Linked DNA regions of Arabidopsis thaliana. The protein of the gene in region 1 interacts with the protein of each later gene in a pairwise test. Each region holds a gene or a part of one and is shown in the gene's direction. Other genes may lie near its edges. The genes, in order: ZF14, GONST1, AT1G22570 and AT2G41820.

Evidence for each region.
Region 2: the proteins of ZF14 (region 1) and GONST1 interact in a protein complementation assay, tested with the Arabidopsis thaliana proteins (one large-scale study listed by BioGRID).
Region 3: the proteins of ZF14 (region 1) and AT1G22570 interact in a protein complementation assay, tested with the Arabidopsis thaliana proteins (one large-scale study listed by BioGRID).
Region 4: the proteins of ZF14 (region 1) and AT2G41820 interact in a protein complementation assay, tested with the Arabidopsis thaliana proteins (one large-scale study listed by BioGRID).

Annotation. Positions count from the first base shown.
Region 1 is NC_003070.9:21,650,846-21,656,312, forward strand, and holds ZF14 (MATE efflux family protein), read left to right. Parts: upstream 1-2,142; 5' UTR 2,143-2,316; coding exon 2,317-2,478; intron 2,479-2,835; coding exon 2,836-4,272; 3' UTR 4,273-4,594; downstream 4,595-5,467.
Region 2 is NC_003071.7:5,686,319-5,692,987, reverse strand, and holds GONST1 (golgi nucleotide sugar transporter 1), read left to right. Parts: upstream 1-2,216; 5' UTR 2,217-2,457; intron 2,458-2,670; 5' UTR 2,671-2,684; coding exon 2,685-3,034; exon of another isoform or gene 3,035-3,278; coding exon of another isoform or gene 3,279-3,361; coding exon 3,362-3,491; intron 3,492-3,998; coding exon 3,999-4,097; intron 4,098-4,645; coding exon 4,646-4,800; intron 4,801-4,882; coding exon 4,883-4,999; coding exon of another isoform or gene 5,000-5,003; exon of another isoform or gene 5,004-5,152; coding exon 5,153-5,250; intron 5,251-5,351; coding exon 5,352-5,404; 3' UTR 5,405-5,672; downstream 5,673-6,669. Other genes in the region: AT2G13660 (uncharacterized protein), read left to right, coding at 99-306, 371-696; AT2G13640 (Transcription factor IIS family protein), read left to right, coding at 5,698-6,669. UniProt on the Arabidopsis thaliana protein: Involved in the import of GDP-mannose from the cytoplasm into the Golgi lumen. Required for the luminal synthesis of a variety of plant cell surface components. Is required for the correct mannosylation of the glycosylinositol phosphoceramides (GIPC).
Region 3 is NC_003070.9:7,975,552-7,981,092, reverse strand, and holds AT1G22570 (Major facilitator superfamily protein), read left to right. Parts: upstream 1-2,282; 5' UTR 2,283-2,519; coding exon 2,520-2,643; intron 2,644-2,645; exon of another isoform or gene 2,646-2,711; coding exon of another isoform or gene 2,712-2,724; coding exon 2,725-2,942; intron 2,943-3,038; coding exon 3,039-3,598; intron 3,599-3,677; coding exon 3,678-4,473; 3' UTR 4,474-4,669; downstream 4,670-5,541.
Region 4 is NC_003071.7:17,444,047-17,450,807, forward strand, and holds AT2G41820 (Leucine-rich repeat protein kinase family protein), read left to right. Parts: upstream 1-2,697; 5' UTR 2,698-3,123; coding exon 3,124-5,467; intron 5,468-5,539; coding exon 5,540-5,868; 3' UTR 5,869-6,062; downstream 6,063-6,761. Other genes in the region: AT2G41830 (Uncharacterized protein), read right to left, coding at 6,385-6,549, 6,651-6,761. UniProt on the Arabidopsis thaliana protein: Leucine-rich repeat receptor-like protein kinase that may play a role in vascular tissues development.

The DNA of each region.
Region 1 (5,467 bases):
ATCCTCATTTACTAGACAAAGGTTATATTCTTAAAACCAAATTAACTCCGGAAAAACTTTGCCCCCTCCAAAACCAAATTATAGCTTCAGATCATGTATTATGTATATGAATCACAAAATGTGCAGGTCAACTAGTTGTTCTCCGTTGCCTTAATTTCTCTTCTTCTCCACATGTCGTTCCCTCACCATCAGACTCCCAACACATGTTACCATATAGATATTAAGCCATAAATAACTCGTCATACAATTGTACAAAGTATTTATAGTTACGTTGTACAAGAAAAGTATTTAGAATTGGTTAATTTGCGATAAGACCTTTAGTCTACTTGATATATTTTTGCATACACGTGAGAAATTTGGTCAATAGAAATGCTGATCTACCGATAACGGTTTTGATCCTTTTCACGCCAAATTTTATAGAAAATGATCATATGCCAAAAACATATACAACAAATGAAATTGCATGTTGTGGTAAAATATTGATACAACGTTTTAATTAATTGTAATCATTTGATAGAAAACAAGCTATTTTAACATTAATAAGTTATATATAATAAATAAGTTACTATTAATATTTTACATTTACTTTTATAAAGATTTATTTATTTTAAATAGTTTTTAGGTTTCATGGTATGGTGGCAATGAACATGCTTTCAAGCCATTTTCTGCATAATAGTGTTTAACATTACATTACATTACATATATTCATTAAACCTAAATGTTAAAATTATATATGCTAAAGTTGCAATAGACATGCAATTTGAAATTGGAAGAAAATGCTAAATTAAATCTCATGCCATTTTACAGCATAATTTGATATTTTAGACATAGGAAAAACTTAAATTTTATCTTGATTGACTAGGAAAACTTAAATTAACCGTTAGTGCAAAAAAAGAAAGGATTATCTTCACAGAAAGTATATAGACTAATCTAGTGCAGTTTCCTGTTTGACATCATTACACCTAACCTTAAAATTTTCGGAGTTATAAAATAGGACCGACCTCTGTTTCTAAATGTTTCAGCGGAATTAAAGAAAAACAAAATGGCATAAAATTTGTAATTGTGTCACAAATCACAAATGATATAAAATTTCATTTTTTATCAAAAAAAAAGAAAAAAAAAGAAAAAAGAAGGAAAAAAAAAAAGAGAGAGGCAAAATTGGCATATTAATAGGACCGACCTTAGTTGGTTTTGTTTGTTTTTAATATTTGCTATGGAGTATGTGTTTTAGCAAAAACAAATCATAAATGTATATACATTGTTAAGTGTATAAAAATTGTAAATCCGTAAAATTTGAGTCAAATAGCATACAATATCTATAAATGCCATAAAAATGTAAAATTCATTTAATTATAAATCTAAATCCTAACTACTATTATATAAATCCAAACCGATATATAATCTCGTTTAATTAGAAAATTTAAAACCTTTATTATCTTTTATAAACCTAAATCAATATTTAAACTTGTTTAATTGTAAAATTTAAATCTGTTTATAAACTCAAACCGATATTCAATCTCATCAATCATAAAATTGAAATCTTAACTTTTTCTTATAACTGATATATAATTTTTTTATGGCAAATTATATTTTCTAATTAAATTAATTTAATATTATTTATTAGGTGGTAGATTTTGATTGGCTAGAATAAAAAAGTTCACCCAAGTATTTTTCAAAACAAGTACTAACCCCATCAACTTATGTGACCAACCGTTATTGAATAAATGCTTTTTATCCTCTCAGCCTAAGAGGTAACAACAGCCTGATATTCTAGCACTTAGGACGACTGTGAATTCGCCAGCCGACATAACCGAAAGAGTTCAATATATAGTGAAGCCCAAAGTTGAGTTAAAGATTAGGAAAGAGATTTGCTATTATTAAAGGTAATGCGATGTATTTTAAAATAGTTAACTAAACCAATTTTTATGTCTTTCTTCAAAAGTGAACTCTTGAGCTATCCTAAACCTGTGTGTCGTTCTTCTCACAGACTTATTTGGTGGACACACGATTTGTTTAGTCAAAGCAAACAAAAAAAGTCCCACTTCCCTATTAGAAAATCAATTCTTTGTTAAAAAGAAATTAAAACTAATTTTCGCCACGTGTAGAAACGATATCGCTTCTTTACAACTATAAATAGTCAGCCTTTCTCCTCCAAAAGGCCCAACCAATTCCATATTAAAAATATTAGTTCCTCTCGGTTCCTTTTATCATTTGCATAAAATCGTTTTGCCTCCAAAAGACTAAAAGCTCTAGACTTTGTCTCTTTGTCCTTTTATCTCTACTCCCAACAAAACCAGTTTACTCCTCTTAAGAATCATGTGTAATTCAAAACCATCTTCTGCTTCATCTTCCTTATTATCTTGTAAAGACAAAACCCATATCTCAAAACTCGAAACCTGTGATACAGATAATCCTCATTATTCTGAATTCAGGGATACTGATTCTCTAGACCTTAAAAGATGGCCAAGTTTTCTGGAGGTAAATTATTTCTTTTTTTTTCCTATACGTAAATGTTTGTTTTTTTCTACATAGATATGAACATAATAATTCAAGAATCTAGTTCTTGACAAAACTAGATTGTACGAACTATACCAAAAGCATATATACATATACATATATATAAATAGAAACAACAGTTTCGCAATCCTTTTTATATATATACCTAAATCTTTGGTCCCGGTTGGTGATTTGGTTTTGTCATTTTTTTATAAAGGTTTAAGATAAGCTTTATTTGATTAATATAATTAACCATTAACCAGGGAAAAGAAAAAAACGATCTACTGACGTGGACGGTTCTTGGTCTTGACTTTTCTTTTCTTAATTATCTGGCGGCAGGGCTTAGAGGAAGTGAAGGCGATCGGAAAAATCTCTGGGCCGACGGCGATGACCGGGCTTCTTATGTACTCAAGAGCGATGATATCGATGCTGTTCTTAGGCTACCTCGGTGAGCTTGAGTTAGCCGGAGGATCTCTCTCCATAGGCTTTGCCAATATCACCGGCTACTCCGTCATCTCCGGTTTGTCCATGGGGATGGAACCAATCTGTGGCCAAGCATACGGAGCTAAACAAATGAAGCTTTTAGGACTAACCCTTCAAAGAACCGTCCTCCTACTCCTCTCCTGCTCGGTCCCTATCTCCTTCTCGTGGCTCAACATGCGCCGAATCCTCTTATGGTGCGGCCAAGATGAAGAGATCTCCTCTGTTGCTCAACAGTTCCTTCTATTCGCCATCCCTGACCTCTTCCTTCTCTCTCTGCTTCACCCTCTTCGAATTTACCTCCGAACACAAAACATTACATTGCCCGTGACTTACTCCACGGCCGTGTCCGTTCTCCTCCACGTTCCTTTGAACTACCTCCTAGTGGTGAAACTTGAGATGGGAGTAGCGGGAGTCGCTATAGCTATGGTTTTGACAAATCTCAACCTTGTAGTCCTCTTATCCTCTTTTGTGTATTTCACTAGCGTGCATAGTGATACATGGGTCCCAATTACTATTGACTCTCTTAAAGGTTGGTCGGCTTTGCTCTCACTTGCCATACCCACTTGTGTATCTGTTTGTTTGGAGTGGTGGTGGTACGAGTTTATGATCATTTTGTGTGGACTTTTGGCTAACCCAAGAGCCACCGTGGCTTCCATGGGAATCTTGATCCAAACGACGGCTTTGGTCTACGTCTTCCCATCCTCTCTCAGCCTTGGTGTCTCTACAAGAATTAGCAACGAGCTTGGGGCTAAACGTCCGGCGAAAGCTCGGGTATCCATGATCATCTCACTCTTCTGCGCGATCGCCTTAGGCCTAATGGCGATGGTGTTTGCTGTGCTGGTTAGGCACCATTGGGGACGCTTGTTTACCACGGATGCAGAGATTCTTCAGCTGACTTCCATCGCATTACCCATTGTGGGGTTATGTGAGCTCGGAAACTGTCCTCAAACAACCGGTTGTGGGGTTTTAAGAGGCTGTGCAAGACCTACACTTGGTGCCAACATAAACTTGGGTTCATTTTACTTTGTGGGCATGCCAGTCGCTATTCTGTTTGGGTTTGTTTTCAAACAAGGGTTTCCAGGTCTCTGGTTCGGGTTGCTTGCAGCTCAAGCAACTTGTGCTTCTCTCATGTTGTGTGCACTTTTGAGAACAGATTGGAAAGTCCAAGCCGAGAGAGCTGAAGAGCTGACGTCACAAACTCCCGGAAAGTCTCCGCCCCTTCTCCCCATCGCAAGCTCAAAGAGCCGGTCTACCTCCGGTACAGAAGATATGATGAGAACCATGTTGGTTTAGATTGATAGCTATTCTCTGGAGGCATTTGCCATCAACATTGACGTACATATATGTTCTTGTCATCATTTTTTGGAGTTTATAGTGCTCCTTAATTTCTACTTTTTGATTTAAGAACGACTTTGTTTTGTGGGCTTTAGTGGTGTTTGTGTTATTTATGGTTGTATTGGTGTGATAGTTCTAATTAGCTTTGACTTCAGCAGTTTGTATTTTATGTGTTCCCTTTTGTAATAACTCGTGGTTTGATTATCTTTATATATTTGTCCATTTTCTAGGAGAATGTGAATTTTTTTTGTTAAACTAAGAATAAATTTATTTTATTTTATTTTTGTCACAAAAACTAAGTATAAATCAAAATGAAAAATTTAACCTCAATACAACTTTAATATATATATATATATATATATATATAAAAAGATTCCAAGATACTAGACGTGTCTAGGCCATTGAAATCTAGAGAAAGACCATACTAGTAGATCAAACCTAATGGCCGAAGACAATCAGAATAACTAAGGATACAGTAAAAATGTTCCATAATAGGTTAATTTTTTTGCAATTTATTTTGTATTCGTATTTGTGTTGTGAAAGCTTTGCTTATTTAACAATCAATTCTTTTCTTAAGGACAGGCAAGATGAATGTTTTATTTTTGAGCTTTTGGTGGTTCCATGTTCCATAAAAGGAAATTATATTCGTAGCCAAAAATGGAAAACAATTTCCTTTAATTCTATCATATTCTTTGTCTCAAAGCCATTGAGATTCGATACGTTTTAAAATTTAATTGAGATCACATTTATTTTGATTTTGGTTGTTTCCTTTGAGCAGAGAGAAAGCATCTTTTCTTTTATGTATACTTTTTTTTGTCCTGGGACCAGAACATGAATTTATACGAACTTCACAGCGATGTGGCCAAAGAATAAAACCAAATATGACAAGAAAATGAAATAAAACTGAGTGGAATCGATAATGCGTCTACGTGTCGACGATATGAATTACCTTTCAACCTTTGATATTCCTTTTCTATAGATATTTTTAAGAAATAAAATAAGTAAAGCCTAGTAAACTGAATTCCATTGGCTTGCTGAAATATCTTTGATTTTCATTGGCCATCGATAAAAAGTTCGAATTTCATTGGCCTTTGAATTATGACGAAAGAAAAGACAATTCTATATTATAAGTTTTGGACATCTACCTTTTGTT
Region 2 (6,669 bases), on another chromosome or scaffold:
AAGCCCAAATGGGCAGATATTCGGTACAGAAGATGGCCAAAAGTTAGCCCACTAATTGCAAAACACAAGATAAGAAAAATAAAAAAGAGATACGTGTTATGCAATGTGGGATGTTGAGAGAAGAAAAAGGTTTCGCCGTCACCGACTCATCATCACCGGAAACTTCCTTCATCAGCTGTCACCGACTCATCATCACCGGAAACTTCCTTCACCAGCCGGCAGATCAACTCAGTCCTCCAAGAAACCTCTATCTCTGCCTTCGATTGTACCTACTCGCCTTTTGCCATAGATCACCAGAAGAGATTGGTTGGACCTAAACTTGATCACGAGAATTTGTAACCTCAGCCGATTAGCCCGAAATATTCATCAGAACAAGACGAAGACTCCAATTCTTCATACTCCGTCCCAATCAACCGCATCAACTTGATCAATCCACCAAGGAGAACCGATGCTCTAAACAAGCCCTTTTGGCGGAGCAAGGAATTACCTTCACTTGGGAGAAGAATCAAGCACTCAATGAACAAGGATCCATTTGATGACTTCTGGAATTTTCATCTTCCCGAAATTGGAAGAGTTAATTTGAGCCTGCAAAAGGCAACCAAAAGAGAAAGAAAGAAAGTAAATCCGAACAAGTCGGAAAGAGAAACCGGCATCAAAACAGGAAATCTAAAACACAAACCAAAAAGCTCTGATTGAAGACGGAGATTACAAAAGAAAAACAGAGCTCCCTCTCTGTAAAAGATATGAAAGAGAGAAGAGATAGAAAACTCTTTTCATTAAATGTTATAATACGAAAATGATATTCAACTATTTGTTCTCAAGAACAAGATGAGTGTCGTTAACATTAGAGTGTGAATATATTTTTGTTATAAAAATTGTCATGCGTTACGGAAAAAACAAAATGGTCATGCGTTTGGCTACACTGGTTCTTTTGGGCCTAAAGGATTTTATTTTACGTGCTCGAGTAACTTGGGCTATGGCTAGTGGATTTAGAAGTGGACTGTGTCAAAGAGTCAAAATAGATAGGCTAAAATTTCTGGTGGAAAGAATTAAGCCGAAAGGTCAACGGTATGGTACAAAGCAAAAAGGCAAATGGACCATTATTGCCAAACTTTTATTTTTATTCATTCAGATTTTGTGTCAAATTGCCAAGTTTAGAGACACATAACAGTAGTACACTTTTGCACTGACTATCAATTTAAATACGAATTCTCACTGATTAAACTAATTAAGACGCATCATTATAAATTTCTTAAATCATAAACACTAGAATCCAAAATCGATTTTCATTTTTCCCTCTTTTCTTTTTTGAATTCTTTCCTTTTTTTGATTCCTTCTTCTTCTTTAAATTCAAAATAATCTCTTATCTCTATGTCGATTGATGGTGCGAAAGAGAAAAAATTGTGCCTCAATTTGCTTAATTAACGAAAATTCGTGATTAAATTGAAAATCAACATAAAAATTGAGAATTTAAATTACCAGATACAGAACTCATAGTTTAAATCAACAAAAATAGTAAACTACTGATTTAAATGACATTTTTCCAAAAAAGCAAATTGTACAACATATTGTGTGATTTGGACCATATGGTACCAAACCATTATAACTAAATTAGATAATTTATGTTTATATTATTATTTCTTCTCAATATATAAGAGATTTATATAATAACCAATAACTATAAAATGATGAAAATTAACAAAATAACATCATAAGCTCAATACCTTAGGAGAGAACATATTTAACGTGTAACTGTCAAAGTTACTCCAAACAAAGTTTGTGTTCTTTTTTTATAAATAACAATGTTTGTGTTGAATGACCTCAATGAAGAGATTTGTTTGATAGTATTAAATAGCTAATATTTTCTTAAATTTTAGTATAGTTATGACATATTTGTATATGGCCTATTTGTATATGATCAGTATTATTCTGTTTTATTGTCTTAAAAATGATCAATATTATTCTGTATTTATAGATAAAAGGCTATTTTTCGCTTTGGAATAATTTTTAATTTCAAGAAATACATACTAGTTTTATTTATTCATTTAGACATGTTTGACATGAGTAGTTGATGAGTTTGTCAATTTTGAAATACCCACTGAGAAAATTTATTTTGTTTTACATAATGGAACTTCCTCTAACTTACGAAACTCTTAATTTTAATATAAATAAACAAACGAAAGAAACGAAAATTGGTCAGTTTTTTTTTTTTTTTTCTCTTCTGGTCAATGCCATCTCTCTCCCTCGTCTTTTCAGTTTCCTAATTTCCATTGTTTCTTCAAAACAACATTTCACAGATAGCTCCACCACGACCTGACGAAGATCCTCCGCGTGAGCAAGTTTCATGTTCTTCTTCTTCTTCCGATTCATAGTTTTTTTTTTTTCCGGTAACTTGTCATCAATTAGATCTCGTCCGAAGTTGAATCTTTAGTTCGCGAGCTTTTGGACAACTTCGAGGTAAAATTCGTTATTCTCTACACAACTTCCGATTAACGCTTGTGTAGCTACTCTCAACTTTGCTGCTTGATCCAATCTCGTCTTAAGTTGATTTTAGCTGCGAATTGGAACCGAATTGGTTTTTATGTAAAACTGTTACTTTTTTTGTGCGTGTATTGTTAAGAATGATGGATCTAGTTATATAAGCTTGAAAGAAGTTAGTTTCTTTGGTAGGTCTTAGCTTTGCAATGAAATTGTACGAACACGATGGAGTTGATTTAGAAGATGGGAAGACAGTAAAATCCGGAGGAGATAAACCAATTCCAAGAAAGATACATAACCGGGCTTTGTTATCCGGTTTAGCTTATTGCATTTCATCATGCAGTATGATACTTGTCAACAAGTTTGTTCTCTCCAGCTACAACTTCAATGCTGGGATCTTCCTTATGTTATACCAGAACTTTGTCTCGGTGATCATTGTGGTTGGTTTGAGTTTAATGGGTCTAATAACTACTGAACCACTTACTTTGAGGTTGATGAAGGTCTGGTTTCCAGTGAATGTCATCTTTGTTGGTATGCTTATCACAAGCATGTTTAGGTAAGAATGTGTTTCTACACCTTTATTTTGTGTTGGTTTGTTGAATTATATATCGATGCTCTCTTAATTCTCAAGCCTATAAGATTACTAAATTAGTAAAGTCAACTTTTTGGAGTACTAAAGGTAGTTATAAGAATCTGTACATCATCTTTACAGCAGATCGAGGATTAAATAACGTGTAGACACTTAGGTGAAACAGATAGATATTTTGGATTTACTTCACAGTAGGTCGAGATATATAGATATGTATCGTATATGTGTATGTAGGCGGTGTTTGAAGAGCAGATTGAACTTGATTGTCTATTTGAATTACATTTTCTTTGACAGTTTGAAATACATCAATGTAGCAATGGTCACTGTCCTGAAGAATGTCACTAATGTGATAACTGCAGTTGGTGAGATGTATCTGTTCAACAAGCAACATGACAACAGAGTGTGGGCTGCTCTCTTCTTAATGGTATGTTTGTCTGCTTTAAAAGTATTTCTAACTGATTCTGTAAATTGTACCTGAGAAAAAACTATTCTCAAGGAACCTATTTCAAGCTGCACATAGATAGCATTTTGATTGGAGTTTTTGAAAGATATCCTTGTCAAACAACGATTCTATACTGTTTTGGATTTGGTTTTCTCTTGTTTTCTCAAAGCACTCTCTGATCATCAACCTTAACCAATAAAGTCTAAAGCATATCTTCTTATTGATAAGTGATCCACCCTTTTGTGTGCGTACACAGTTACACTTGTCGTAGCGGCTTTCAGTGGTGTGGCATAGCCTAACCTTTCAATACTGTTGGAGATACATGTTTTTAACTGCTTCCACAATTAGTCTGCCAGGGAAATGTAATCATGTTTTTTTGTCACGGCTACTCATTGTTATATGTATATTCTATTTGTTTTTGTATAGATCTTGAATAAGTAGAGGATAAAGTTTTGATTAACCTGTGCTTCTTTCGTCCTTCATTTGCAGATAATTTCCGCAGTTTCTGGAGGAATAACAGACCTATCATTCAATGCTGTTGGCTATGCTTGGCAGATTGCTAATTGCTTCTTAACTGCATCGTACTCGGTGAGTAAACATTTGATCATTTGTGTTTTCTTTTCCCAAAATGTTAGGAGTCATTTGAAACAATAAACACATATATGAAAAGGAGATCACTTAAAAACCATGCTTTCATGTCGAGTATTACATGCTGTTTGGTTAAGACTAAGTCAATAAACTAAACAGCCTTCCCTATAATCATTACGATACTGGCTTGCTTTTGAGTTTTAAGATGCTCACGAGATACCGAGATTCTGTTACCTTAGAAAATTTTATAGCTTGCAATCCATTGTCACTGGTAACCTGAGTACTTCACTCGTTGTTAGAAGTAGGAATAGCATGTTAAAGAGAAGACTTTGGGCAAAGAATGCAAATTGACACCATCAACTTCTCAGTTCTCACTAGGTTTTCCATTGCTGGGTCAAAAAACGAGAGTGTTAGACTGTTAGGTTCCCATAAATTTATCCCTATATCCTGTCAACAAAAACCAAGTGTTTGGCTTGTTAGCTAGGCTACTATACTCTTATAAAATTTGCCACCACTTTTGACTTGCCTTATATTTTGTTGTTTTGCAGCTGACTTTGAGAAAGACCATGGATACGGCCAAGCAGGTTACTCAATCTGGAAACTTGAACGAGTTCTCCATGGTCTTGCTTAATAACACACTTTCATTACCACTTGGGCTTCTTCTTTCTTATTTCTTCAACGAGATGGATTATCTCTATCAAACGTGAGTTCCTGTCCTTATTTCTGTGTCAATGGAAAATGGTTTGTGTCATCTGAAAACAAAATGGTGTATTATATTTGTGCAGGCCACTTCTACGATTACCAAGTTTCTGGATGGTCATGACACTTAGTGGACTTCTAGGGCTTGCCATTAGCTTTACTTCAATGTGGTTTCTTCATCAAACTGGAGCAACAACATACAGGTAGCAAATTAGAGAGAGATAGAGCAATTTCAAAACTTTGCTTAAGAGAGTGTTGCTGTCCCCTAGCCTTCTCCATATATCCCTTTCCTATGTTTGCTTCTTTGTTGGTTCAGTCCTAACTAGATACATCTTTCGCTTTATTCAAAATCATAGCCTGGTGGGATCTCTAAACAAGATACCTCTATCCATCGCGGGGATCGTTCTTTTCAATGTACCGACCAGTTTGCAGAACTCAGCAAGCATACTCTTTGGTAAGCGTTCTCTCGATCAGTTCCCTTTTCCAACTTCTTGAAGGAACACATATCGCTTGTGTTGTGTATTATTATTAAACCTGAGGTGGCCTAATTTGCAGGTCTTGTCGCTGGAGTTGTATTTGCTAGAGCCAAAATGAGGGAGAAGTCCTAAAATACTAACCATCTACAACACATTTTACTACATCAATCAGTATAGGACATGGCAAAAGCTGATTAAAGCAGAGCAATGAGTTTATAACCTCAGAATTCTATGCACGTTATGTGTTTCTTGTAAAAGCTTTCGCCACTCTACTTGTATAATGTTAGTAAAATATTAATGAATGTATCGATTCTTGAGTGGTAAGAGAAGTGTTGGTTTATGTGTTTCTTCGTTTTTACCAATTTTCCAGTAAAGAAATTCAATGGTATGAGATTTCAACATAAACTGAAAACCCTAGCCACCTGATGATCAAGAACGACGGAAAGATGATGAGAGTGAGAATTGCGAAGGAGAGATCTGACTTATGCGACTTGACTGCTGCTGCAATTAAGGCTACTTACAATACACGGAACCCATGCGAAGTCGAGCGATGCATCGATGTGTTGAATCACTTGAAGTCTCTGTCTCTTTCCGTGAAGGATATACGATTGTCTGAATCAATAGTTAAACTGGAGACTTTGAGAAGTCATAGGAACCCTAGAATCCGTAAGGAAGCCCAAGCCTTGTTTCATTCATGGTTGAAGACATTCTACGCACATGGAAGCGACAACTCTTTCACAGCTGCTCTTACCAAAGATCGTCTGAAGATGAAGAAGCATGTTCTAAAAATGTGTTCGGAGTTGAAGAAGAAAGAAGAACCGGGAACTATGGCTCGTCAAGTCACTGCCTTTTCGGTGTTGAAGAATAAAGAAGACGAGAGATCTCAGACGACTGTTGAAGCAGTAGAGAGTAAGACAACGATCAAACTCTCGGAGTTGAATAGGAAAGAAGATCAGAGATCATTAACTCGTGAAACAGAGAAGAATAAAGCAAGGAACAGCTTTTTGGCTTTGAAACAGAAAGAGGATCATAGATCTGAGACTTGTGTCGAGAAATATTTTAAGAAAGAGACAAAGACCAATCTAAAGCAGCTCAACATGAAGACAAGGCGTGTCTCTTTGGAGGATGTTACAACGAAGAAGCCACATGAAGATGGTTCATTGATAAAGAAGACTAAAACAGAAAAGGAGCTGAAGAAGAAGAAAGTGGATGAGATGGTGAAGTTGTTCGAAGCAGCAAAGAAAGCTGCTGATGTGGCCAACGCTAAGGGTGTTCTCTCAGGTAAACCAGAGGTGTCTCGCTGCATTGACGCTCTCTCGTTATTGATGAAGATCAACATTACTCCAAAACCAAAAGAACCAAGGAGGATGATGGATAAGCTTGAGGGACTTACAAAA
Region 3 (5,541 bases), about 14 Mb from region 1:
TATCGTGTTTTGGAACACATACCTTAGTATAAACCTTTTCGTTGTGTCTCGGTTTTTGTTCGCAAGCTCCCTCATGATATCCCGCCATTTTTCAGTGAACTTGTTTGCTAGGATCCCCCGTGCCAGCTCCTCCCACACCTTTCTCGAATACGGACATTGGAAGAACAAGTGCTCTCTTGTCTCCAAAGGATCTTGGCATAAGACACAGCTTTGATCTGCATTTTGGTTTCATTGAAACATCCTTTCCCCTGTTGCTAACCTGTTTTTCATCATTAACCAAGTGACAAACCCATACTTTGGTGTAGCGTACTTGCAAAATTTCGTACTTGCAAAAGAAGTTTCTACGAACTTAATGATGACGGAAAAAAATACATATGAAACACTCTACATAAACTAGTATTAAAATTCTTTATCTGCATGGTTGTTCCTTAAGATAGTTAGAGATCATTTTTGGGAAGTAAATAAATTTCCACTAAAACTTAAGACATTATTTGAAACACCGGTACACCGGTATAGTGCCTTCTAAAGAACATTCAATGTTCAAGACTTCCAAGTCATAATATTTTTTGTTTGACTTTAAAAGAGAGGAATCCATGTAAATATAATTTATTCGATGTTTGTTTGTATCTTTTCGTGAGCTTAAAGATATTACATATCTCGATCCTTTCAATATTGTTAGGTCATGATGCCATTTATCGATCTTCCGCATGTCACGCCGTTCAGTCTAGGCGTGAGTACCAATCCTAACTCCTAAGGATACGACATCATAGCAACTTAGCAACCATGTATGATAAAATGGTTCACACAAATTATTTAGGCCCGTATTTCGGCCCCTTTTGATTTCGAAATATTTTGGGCCTATAAAAAAGAGAGAATGTTTGAGACTCGAGAGTAGTAAGAAAGGAGAGAACGCAGGTTTTTTTTTTTAAATGAATGATTTCAGAGAACGCAAGTTATACACGTACTACACGTATAACACGTTCCTCAGCAAGACAACAATATTATCTTATCCTCAAGTGGATGCAAATAATATAAAGATTTTAATATTCATTTACTACATCAACCCCCAAGAACAAAAAATGTCTTCAACAAACAAATCTACAATCAACGAAACAAACGTAATCACCAAATATGAATCAATCAGCAGTATGCTGAAAATTGTTGCCAACATAATTTAAGCATGCGACTTTCAAAAACTCGAAAAATTGTCAACAATTTGAGTAATCCGAATTTTTCTGTTTCTATTACACATGAAAAGACAAAGTAACATTCAAAATCCATCTCATCTGCTTGGCGCGATAACATATCTGATAAGACTTTTTTTTGTGTGTCCAAAGCTGATAAGGTTTCCAACTTTATCAGAATCAATCTATATTTGACTATTCAAAACTGAAATACAGGAGATTATTTCTGCTATGAACAAATATTATTTTGACTATTTGACTGATCTATCACAAACATCTTAGCCAAAAAATAAAATTTAGTGACCACAGCTTGAGAAAAAAGGAAACATTCGTGTAGAATGTATTTTGCTGATTTGTGGAGAGTATAGTCTTGTGCTGTGAACAAATACATTCATATTACCCTGCAACTTGCAAGTAAAAAGAAGTTATGAAGTGACAGCTAATCAGGAGATAAGAATAACTCGATCATAAATACGGAACACCGCAACAAGCGGACCAAAGAGCATGCAAGTAGCCACTAGCCAAGTAGGAGAAAGAAAAATATACAACTACATAATAAATATTCCAAATTAAAAACTTATTGATTTAGTCTCAGCATTTATACAAATGTAAAATGTTTATACAAATGTTGTCTATTTTTTTTATTGTTAACGAATTTTCTAATTTTGAAATAATAGTGATCAATTATGTTGCTTTTGTGACTAAAAAGTAAGTGAATTTACAAATAAAATGATACGTCAAAATTATGGTTAGCTAAGCCTAAGTCTAAGAGCTTGAATGATATATGGATTTTTGGTCGATCCAACCCAAAAACATCTAAATATTCTATCAACATTTATACTCAAATAACAATTGTACATCACTAAGTTACATGTTTTTTATAACTTAATTTTAAGAATAAGTCGTGATCAATCAAATTACCCTTGATGTTGACTTTTGATTGAAAAAAATGACAAAAAGAATTTGCTGATACAAAACAAAACATGGCAAATATCTAGCTCGTACGTGTATCACTTGTCCAAAGGAAGTATGCGTATTATTGCGTAATAATACAATAATATCGGAAAGTTATATAAAATAAAAATACAAATAAGATAATGTAATTGCATACTTATTTTTTAACGCGTATAGTACACTCATCTCAAATGCCAATAAATATACAGATACACATAAAAGAAAGACTAGAAAGTTTAGTTACCCAAAATATCATAAATTAATGTAATCGTGTTCACTAGTTGCGCAAGACAAAGAGATCTTTTAGCTTAAAAATCTCATTTAGGCATTTACCCTTTAAAAAGTTTTCACAGAGATTCTCAACCTCTATTGGTGAGAGAAATGAAGATACCAGAGGAAGAAGTTGCACTCTTAGAAGATTACGTTAGCGATTCCGTCGACCACCGTGGATTTCCCGCCGGAAAATCTTCCACCGGCGGATGGAGATCGGCCTGGTTCATTATAGGTAAAACACATCAGAAACAATCCAATTTTTTTTCTTTTTCTAGTTAAACTTCTAAGTCCCAGTCTTAAATGATTTGTTTAGGTGTGGAAGTTGCAGAGAGGTTTGCTTACTTTGGGATTGCCTGCAATTTGATTACTTACCTCACCGGACCTCTCGGACAATCGACGGCGAAAGCTGCCGTGAACGTGAACACGTGGTCGGGAACTGCCTCTATACTTCCTATTTTAGGAGCTTTCGTAGCTGACGCTTATCTTGGTCGTTACCGTACTATTGTCGTAGCTTCCCTCATCTACATATTGGTTAGTACTTTTGTCTTCTTCTAGTTAAACCGGTTTGATCTTTGTATGATTTAAACCGGGATTTTAGCTGAATTTGGAGGATTATTATTATTACAGGGGCTAGGACTATTGACGTTATCAGCTTCTTTAATCATAATGGGATTATCTAAGCAACGTAACGACGCTTCTGCTAAACCATCTATTTGGGTTAATACACTTTTCTTCTGTTCTCTGTATTTGGTGGCGATCGGACAAGGTGGACACAAACCGTGTGTTCAAGCGTTTGGTGCGGACCAGTTTGATGCTGAAGATCCGAAGGAGGTAATAGCGAGAGGGTCGTTTTTCAATTGGTGGTTCTTGAGTTTATCTGCGGGAATAAGCATATCGATTATTGTGGTCGCTTATGTTCAAGAAAATGTTAATTGGGCGTTTGGGTTTGGGATTCCTTGTTTGTTTATGGTTATGGCTCTTGCTATCTTCTTGCTCGGGAGGAAGATATATAGATACCCAAAGGGACATCATGAGGAGGTTAATAGTAGTAACACTTTTGCAAGAATCGGTAGAGTTTTTGTTATTGCGTTCAAGAATCGGAAACTGAGGTTAGAACATTCTAGTTTGGAATTGGATCAAGGTCTATTGGAGGATGGTCAGTCCGAGAAACGTAAAGATCGGCTCAAGTAAGTTCGAATATTTTGTGTTTTGTTTTAGTCTTTTGGCATAATTTTGAGTGTAAATTTCTTTACCTTGTGTGACAAGTTTCCTAGCAAAAGCAATGATCTCAAGAGAAGGTGTTGAGCCATGTAGTGGTAGGGACGTGGATGACGCGAAGGCTTTGGTAAGGCTTATTCCGATATGGATCACATACGTGGTGAGCACGATTCCGTACGCTCAGTACATAACTTTCTTCACGAAGCAAGGGGTCACGGTGGACAGAAGAATCTTACCGGGAGTAGAAATTCCAGCGGCTTCTTTATTGTCATTCGTTGGTGTATCTATTCTCATCTCAGTGCCCCTATATGAGCGTGTATTTCTCCCGATAGCTAGGAAGATTACCAAAAAGCCTTTTGGGATCACAATGCTCCAAAGGATAGGAGCTGGAATGGTGCTTTCAGTCTTCAATATGATGCTCGCTGCATTAGTAGAATCAAAACGGCTAAAAATCGCTAGGGAACACGGGCTAGTGGACAAGCCGGACGTGACCGTTCCAATGTCCATATGGTGGTTCGTCCCTCAGTATTTGCTACTCGGGATGATCGATCTGTTCTCTATGGTGGGAACACAAGAATTCTTCTACGACCAAGTCCCAACGGAGCTAAGGAGCATTGGTCTCTCGCTTTCTCTGAGTGCGATGGGTCTTTCAAGCTTCTTGAGTGGTTTTCTCATCAGTTTGATTGATTGGGCTACGGGAAAAGACGGCTGGTTCAACTCTAACTTGAACCGAGCCCATGTGGATTACTTTTATTGGTTGCTCGCTGCTTTCACGGCCATTGCTTTCTTTGCGTTCTTGTTCATCTCCAAGATGTATGTGTATCGTCGGCTAGACCAAGTCTAAGAATTCAGAGTACTAGTTTTTTTTTTTTTTTGGTAAGAAGAATTCAGAGTATTACAGTAGAAACTCTATAAATTAATAATGGTGAGACCATGAAATTTTATTAATTTATAGTGATATTAATTTATCCTCTAAATTAATAAATATTAATTTATCGTATAAGTTAATAAATATTAATTTATAGAAATATTTACGTAAAGTACAATACTATATTCTTTTAAAAATATTTTTTAATGTAATTTTCTATATGCTTTGTTGTTTGCATATATAATTATGTTAGGTTTTTATTTTAATTTGACTTTTTTAATTTATTTTCGTCAAGATTTGTATCTGTATATCTACGACATTAACGTGAACGTAAACGTAAACATGAAAGTTAATCCAGTTTCTCTTTACACAAATCATAACAATGCTTTCTCAAATAAAAGATTTTACAAAATCAACTATGACGGATCAAATACGCAAATAGTTATGTGAGTACAACAGAGATCATATCAGTTGTATTTTAAAAAGAGTTAGTTTGAACAAAAATTTCATATAAAAATTAGTCTTAAGATATATACTTAAGATCTATGATTATTAATTTATAATATTATTGGGACTATAATTTTACATAGGGATTTTAAAAAAATTATTATCTTATTATTTTATCGATTTTGATTAATTTTTATATTGGCCCAACTTGGGACCGACAAAATTTATTAATTTATCGTGTTTATTAATTTATCGAGTATTAATTTATAGAGTCTCTACTGTAATTTTGTTGACTTTCATATCAAACTTGTACGTTAACATGTTTATAGTTTGACTTCTTTTTTTTTTTTCGTTTTATTTCCAAAGTATATAGAATTGGCAACTTAAACATAAGGTAGAGGAGCCTACCAAAAAAAACATATCTATCATTGCATGGGTTTGGATTGGATAGCATTTATTTTTGGTTTCACAACACCGATGGGTCCATTGTTTTTAAGATATTTGCAAATATTGAATAATTATTTTATCGTTTTTTTTTACAAGAACATGCTTTTATGTTGACATAAATCAGTGTGACCATCTATCTTTAAGTACGTT
Region 4 (6,761 bases), on another chromosome or scaffold:
CCATTTGGTATCACTACAAGATGGACAGCCGAGTCATGTCCTTTTGACATTTCCTCTTTGTTTTTAAATTTTATATTCCTCCTTCACTAGTAGAAAAATCTTAGGAATTTTAGGGAGGCTAATTAACAACTTTACGTTTTGGTAATTGTGGAATCAACCATGATAATCTTATATTATTCGATATTAATCAAAATATGGCTTAAATAGTTAAAACTCACACATAAGTCCATAAGTTCCAATTGTATAATATTATACTTTTAATAAATTATATTATATTTATACATATGAATAAAAAGGAAGGTTTCAGGAATTCATGGTTACAAAATGAGTTTAAAAAGATGAACATTTCCCCCAAAACACTAATTAGATCGTACGGTTGGTGAGCCTAAAGAAGTAGTGCTACTAATAAATGAGAATAATAGTTTTTGGTACGACATCCCACAAATCCTTAATGATGAGAGCATAAATCTCGGCATAATCTTCGTTTCAAGAGTTCGAAAGCATATTCATGAATATTCACAAATGATTACGCAGAAAGTCAGTTTGATAGGTAAAGCATCCATAAGCTAATGACTAAGTTTTCATTGTAATCATTGGTTAACATTTTCTCTAACAATGTTAATTATTGAAAATTTAAAACAATTAACTACACTTCTTATCTCCCCTTCTTCACGAGTTTAAAGCGACGAGGTGCTTCCATCATTATGTCTTCTCTTTTTCTTGTTGCTCTTCTTATGATTCGTCTTTAACTCATTCGCCTATTTGTGAAAAAAATAGATTGCTTGAAAAGCATAAAACTAATCAACTGAAAAAATGTATATGCATAATTAAAAATCAATTCATAGAAAAATTCAGTCGTACTTTCGTCAATTCATGGATTTATTTTTTGTTGTAGCTAAAACTTCAGTTGTACTACCAAAACAAGAAGAAGTTCAACGTCTTGTTGATAGTATCATGAGTTGTGAAAACTCACGTGAAAAGAAATGTAACTATGTAATAAAGTTTTTTATAGTATTAATAGAATAAAACTTGCTTAATTGGTGGTGTTATTTATATATACTTAATTAGGCAATTAGGTTTCAAGAAGAGGAAAAAAACGATGGGACGGAGGTGGTGAGTGGTGGTGGTCGGAGCAGACAAAGAAGGGTCCTACAATTTGCCTAACCGTAAAGAGCCACATTCCTTTTTCTTTTACCCCATCCCGTGAGTGAACCCCACTCTTCCTCATTCTATTATTCTCAATCTATATTTTCAAAAATAAACATAAATATACAAACTCTTTGCAGCATAAAGGAATATGTTGATAAAACGGAGCTTTGTTTATGATTTTGTTTCATTATGATATATTTTTTTTAAAACATTTACCAACAATTTCTTAGAAACATAAATTAAGAGCTAACTAGTATATCTAGTATTTCTCGAAACCCAAACTCATGTTCTTAATTTTTTATTTTTTTCTGGAATGTTAATGACTATCGGATATTTGAGTATAATTGTATGAATTTGCTTGACTGTTGCATACTTTGAATCTTTCTTTCTAGTTTACAATTGTGCAAATTAAATCAAACTCGTTTTCAGTATTTTACCTTTTAGTACTATACTTAATTATGTCATCTGTATCAGGTAATAGTTAGAGGAAAGAGGAAAATGGTGTAATATAAACAACAATTATTTGTATGTGAGTTTACGACCATCATCTAGCTTAAAGTACACACCAATGAGAATATGAACACAGTTTAGCTCAACTCATATATGATCTATCCGACATCTTTTCAATGTTTTGGGTCGCGTAGGAGTATCGGAAGCAGCTTAAGACATAGCTATTTAATAAATTGTTGGTATGTTTTATTTATAACAATTATCACAAAATCAAAAGATACTAATCTCGCTGTTTGAGGCAGACATCTGAGAAAACATGTCTTCTACCAACATTCAAGATTTGACAAATCGTTGTTTACGTATTGTTATATTGAGCATCTTACAACAAAAATTTACGTGTATTTTGAAACTCGGAAATCAATCATATCTATTGATATTAACACACAGTGTTTCCTGACTATCGTCGCAGACGAATAATAATAGTAATAATCTTCCACCTCGTGTGATTCTATAATCTTATATTCTTGACATAAATGTCGTCAAAATTTGGTATACATCAAACATGGATCGTGTTTAAAGTAATCATCAAAAATCACCACACGAGAGTAGATTCCCTATTGTCAAATATAGATCAAAGAGAAAACATGTAGGCTACAAATATAACCTAGTCCCTACGAATAAGAAAAATGTCATTATACCACAAATGATAACTGCAAAGTGTGTGTAAATTTTGATTTTAAAAGAAGGTAAAAAAATAAAAAAGATAGATTTGGAAACAATCTTTTACCTCTTTGGTATTGAACATTGTGACAGTATCAATCAGTATGGTACAGAAAAAACGTCAGAGGAAAAGAATTATCAAAAAACGTACACTCTTCATTTTCATTAAAATCTTTTTTTTTTCTTCCAAAAAACAAAAGCAGAAAAAATGTGTCAGAAAGATTTATGCAGCTTTCATTCATTCATCACTTGCACTGTCTCGTGAAGAAAATTAAACTTTTTTGTATCAGAAATTAATTACATTAAAAGAAAAGAAAAAAAAAATTCCCTCCTTTCCAAGTGCGTTTGCTTTGTGGAGTCTCTCTCTTCTCTCTCTCTGTCTGTGTGTGAAGTGAGAGGATCTTTGTTTGGTTCTGCAATCATAATTTCGTGATATACTAAAAAAAATGCAATTTCCTCTTCTCTCTTATAAGCAGAGACCCTACTACTCTTTGATCGAATTTTCCTTGCTCTCTTCTCTTTGTTCTCTCATGTTTTTTTCTCCCTAAATTTATGGGCTTTGCTCTCTCTCTAAGCCACACTCACACTCTAAAGCACTCGTCTTTCTTCTTCTTTTTCTTCAGAAACAGTTATTTTGACTTGAAAAACCAGAGCTTTAATCCTGGATTCATGGCAAAAAGAGCATTACTTTTCTTTTCCTCTCTCACTTTCTTGTTTCATTTGGCTTAAAAATTCAATGATAATTTTGTATTTGGGGGAAAGAAGAAGAAGAACAAGAGTGTGTGATTGATTCAATTCTTAAAAATGACATTTTGGTGTATGTCAATTCTTCTGATTGTTGGGTTCTTATCAAAATCTGAGCTTTGTGAAGCTCAACTAAGCGATGAAGCCACATTGGTTGCGATTAATAGAGAGCTTGGAGTTCCAGGATGGAGTAGTAATGGCACTGACTATTGTACTTGGGTTGGGCTTAAGTGTGGTGTCAACAACTCTTTTGTTGAAATGCTTGATCTCTCAGGGCTTCAGCTTAGAGGTAATGTTACTCTAATCTCTGACCTCAGAAGCTTAAAGCATCTAGATCTTTCTGGTAACAACTTCAATGGACGAATTCCTACTTCTTTTGGCAACTTGTCTGAGCTTGAGTTTCTTGATTTGTCTCTGAATCGTTTTGTTGGAGCGATTCCGGTTGAGTTTGGTAAGCTTAGAGGGCTTAGAGCATTCAACATTTCTAATAACTTGCTTGTTGGAGAGATACCTGATGAGCTTAAGGTTCTAGAGAGGTTAGAGGAGTTTCAGGTCTCTGGAAATGGGTTAAATGGTTCTATACCTCACTGGGTAGGGAATCTGAGCAGTCTCAGGGTGTTTACAGCTTATGAGAATGATTTGGTGGGTGAGATACCGAATGGGTTAGGTTTGGTTTCTGAGTTGGAATTGTTGAATCTTCACTCAAACCAACTTGAGGGGAAGATTCCAAAAGGGATTTTTGAGAAAGGGAAGCTTAAAGTTTTGGTCTTGACACAGAATAGATTGACCGGTGAACTCCCTGAAGCAGTAGGAATCTGCAGCGGCCTCTCGAGCATTAGAATTGGGAATAACGAGCTTGTGGGAGTCATTCCGAGGACAATCGGGAACATTAGTGGACTTACTTACTTTGAAGCAGACAAGAACAATCTTTCAGGTGAGATTGTTGCAGAGTTCTCCAAGTGTTCTAATCTCACTCTGCTGAATCTGGCAGCTAATGGGTTCGCTGGAACCATTCCAACAGAGCTTGGTCAGCTCATTAATCTTCAAGAACTGATTCTCTCAGGTAATAGTCTCTTTGGGGAGATCCCTAAGTCGTTTCTTGGAAGTGGAAACCTAAACAAGCTTGATTTGAGTAACAACAGACTCAACGGAACCATCCCAAAGGAACTCTGCAGCATGCCAAGGCTACAGTATTTACTTCTTGATCAAAATTCCATAAGAGGAGACATACCTCATGAGATTGGAAACTGTGTGAAGCTACTTCAGCTCCAACTGGGTCGAAATTACTTGACGGGAACCATTCCTCCTGAGATTGGTCGCATGAGGAATTTGCAGATAGCACTCAACTTAAGTTTCAACCATCTTCATGGATCATTGCCTCCCGAGTTAGGAAAACTCGACAAGCTCGTGTCATTGGATGTCTCTAACAATTTGCTCACAGGATCCATACCGCCACTACTAAAAGGTATGATGAGTTTGATCGAGGTTAATTTCTCAAACAACCTTTTGAATGGTCCAGTGCCAGTCTTTGTTCCCTTTCAAAAGTCTCCAAATTCGAGCTTTTTGGGAAACAAAGAGCTTTGTGGAGCACCATTGAGCTCTTCTTGTGGATATTCTGAAGATCTTGACCATTTGAGATATAATCACAGAGTCTCCTACAGAATTGTGCTCGCAGTGATTGGTTCTGGTGTAGCTGTCTTTGTATCAGTCACTGTGGTTGTTCTTCTCTTCATGATGAGGGAGAAACAAGAGAAAGCAGCGGCTAAAAATGTTGATGTTGAAGAAAATGTTGAGGATGAGCAACCAGCAATTATCGCGGGAAATGTCTTCCTTGAAAATCTTAAACAAGGAATTGATCTTGATGCAGTTGTGAAAGCAACTATGAAGGAGTCAAATAAACTCAGTACGGGAACTTTCAGTTCAGTTTATAAAGCCGTTATGCCTTCGGGGATGATTGTTTCGGTGAAGAAACTCAAGTCTATGGATAGAGCCATATCTCATCATCAGAACAAGATGATCAGAGAACTCGAAAGACTCAGCAAACTTTGCCATGACCATTTGGTTAGACCGATAGGGTTTGTTATATACGAAGACGTTGCTCTCTTGTTGCATCAGCATTTACCTAATGGTAACTTAACTCAGCTGATTCATGAGTCCACCAAGAAACCAGAGTACCAACCTGACTGGCCAATGAGACTGTCCATAGCTGTTGGAGCAGCAGAAGGTTTAGCATTTCTCCACCAAGTCGCCATCATTCACCTCGACGTTTCCTCTAGCAACGTCTTGCTAGACTCTGGTTACAAAGCCGTGCTTGGGGAAATCGAAATATCGAAACTTCTAGATCCCTCTAGAGGCACCGCGAGTATTAGCTCAGTTGCAGGCTCTTTTGGCTACATTCCACCAGGTATAAAGTCTTAATTTTGTTACCAGTAACTTTATACAAAATCCAACACTTTCCCTTGGTTTATTTCTGCAGAGTATGCATACACAATGCAAGTTACAGCTCCGGGGAATGTTTACAGTTATGGAGTTGTGTTGCTTGAGATTCTAACCTCAAGAGCGCCGGTGGAGGAAGAGTTTGGTGAAGGAGTAGATTTGGTGAAATGGGTCCATGGAGCTTCAGCGAGAGGAGAAACACCGGAACAGATACTCGATGCCAAGCTTAGCACCGTGTCTTTTGCTTGGAGGAGAGAGATGCTTGCAGCTCTGAAAGTTGCATTGCTTTGCACAGACATCACACCTGCAAAAAGGCCAAAGATGAAGAAAGTAGTTGAAATGCTTCAAGAGGTTAAGCAAATCAAATGAGCAAATGAATATATAGTTTCCTCTTGTGACATTCATATACAAAAGAAAACGCATTCCTATATATGCGAGCTTCTCCTCTGTGTATTATATAGGTTTTTATGATAAAATTGATCCGCTTATGGTTGATTTACTTATCCAATGACACAAATTATAAATTAGATCATAGAAGAACCAATGTACATCTTGAGGGAAACTGTTCAACAAAGCATCTGTTGTAGAATCTTAAGATTACAATACCATGTGAAAACCAGATGGCCTCTTTCAATTTTTTACACATCACACCAAAAAGAAACAAGAATTGGACAAAAGAATAAGTGAAAAGAGAAGATAGGAGTAAAAACCTAGGAGGAATGATCTAATTATAGCACGACGGAGATAATTCCGATTTATGATGCTAAAGAATCTATAAAAACGTAACCCAAGACTTTGAAAACCAAGCAAACCTATTTTTGTTATGTTTTGTTTGAGTTCTTGACTGGAATTCAAAGCCAAACATGGTTTGGATCCTGCCGATGATCAACAGCCAGCAGCTTTAAGGAAGTTGTCGTAAGGGCTTGAGGCTGGTAGTCTAAATGCTTGTGGGTTATTTTGTAGTTCTGCATAGCACGGTGACTGAATAGTTCCCACTGGTGTTCTTGGCGATTTCATGTCGAATTCTTTCGACAGTAAAGGGACTTCGACCTAAACAAATTTCAGTAATCAATACAAAAATGGTTAAACAGTTATCTTGGAATATGAAACCGGAGGCTATCCACAGGAATTCATAGCGAAGGCATACATACCCCAGTATGAAATGCTGAATTGATCATAGGATGAAAAGATGCAATCTTGATCTCTTCATCATGTTGTCGTGGAGAGCAGTTAACAGAACTCTCATGTCGTAGCTGAGAATT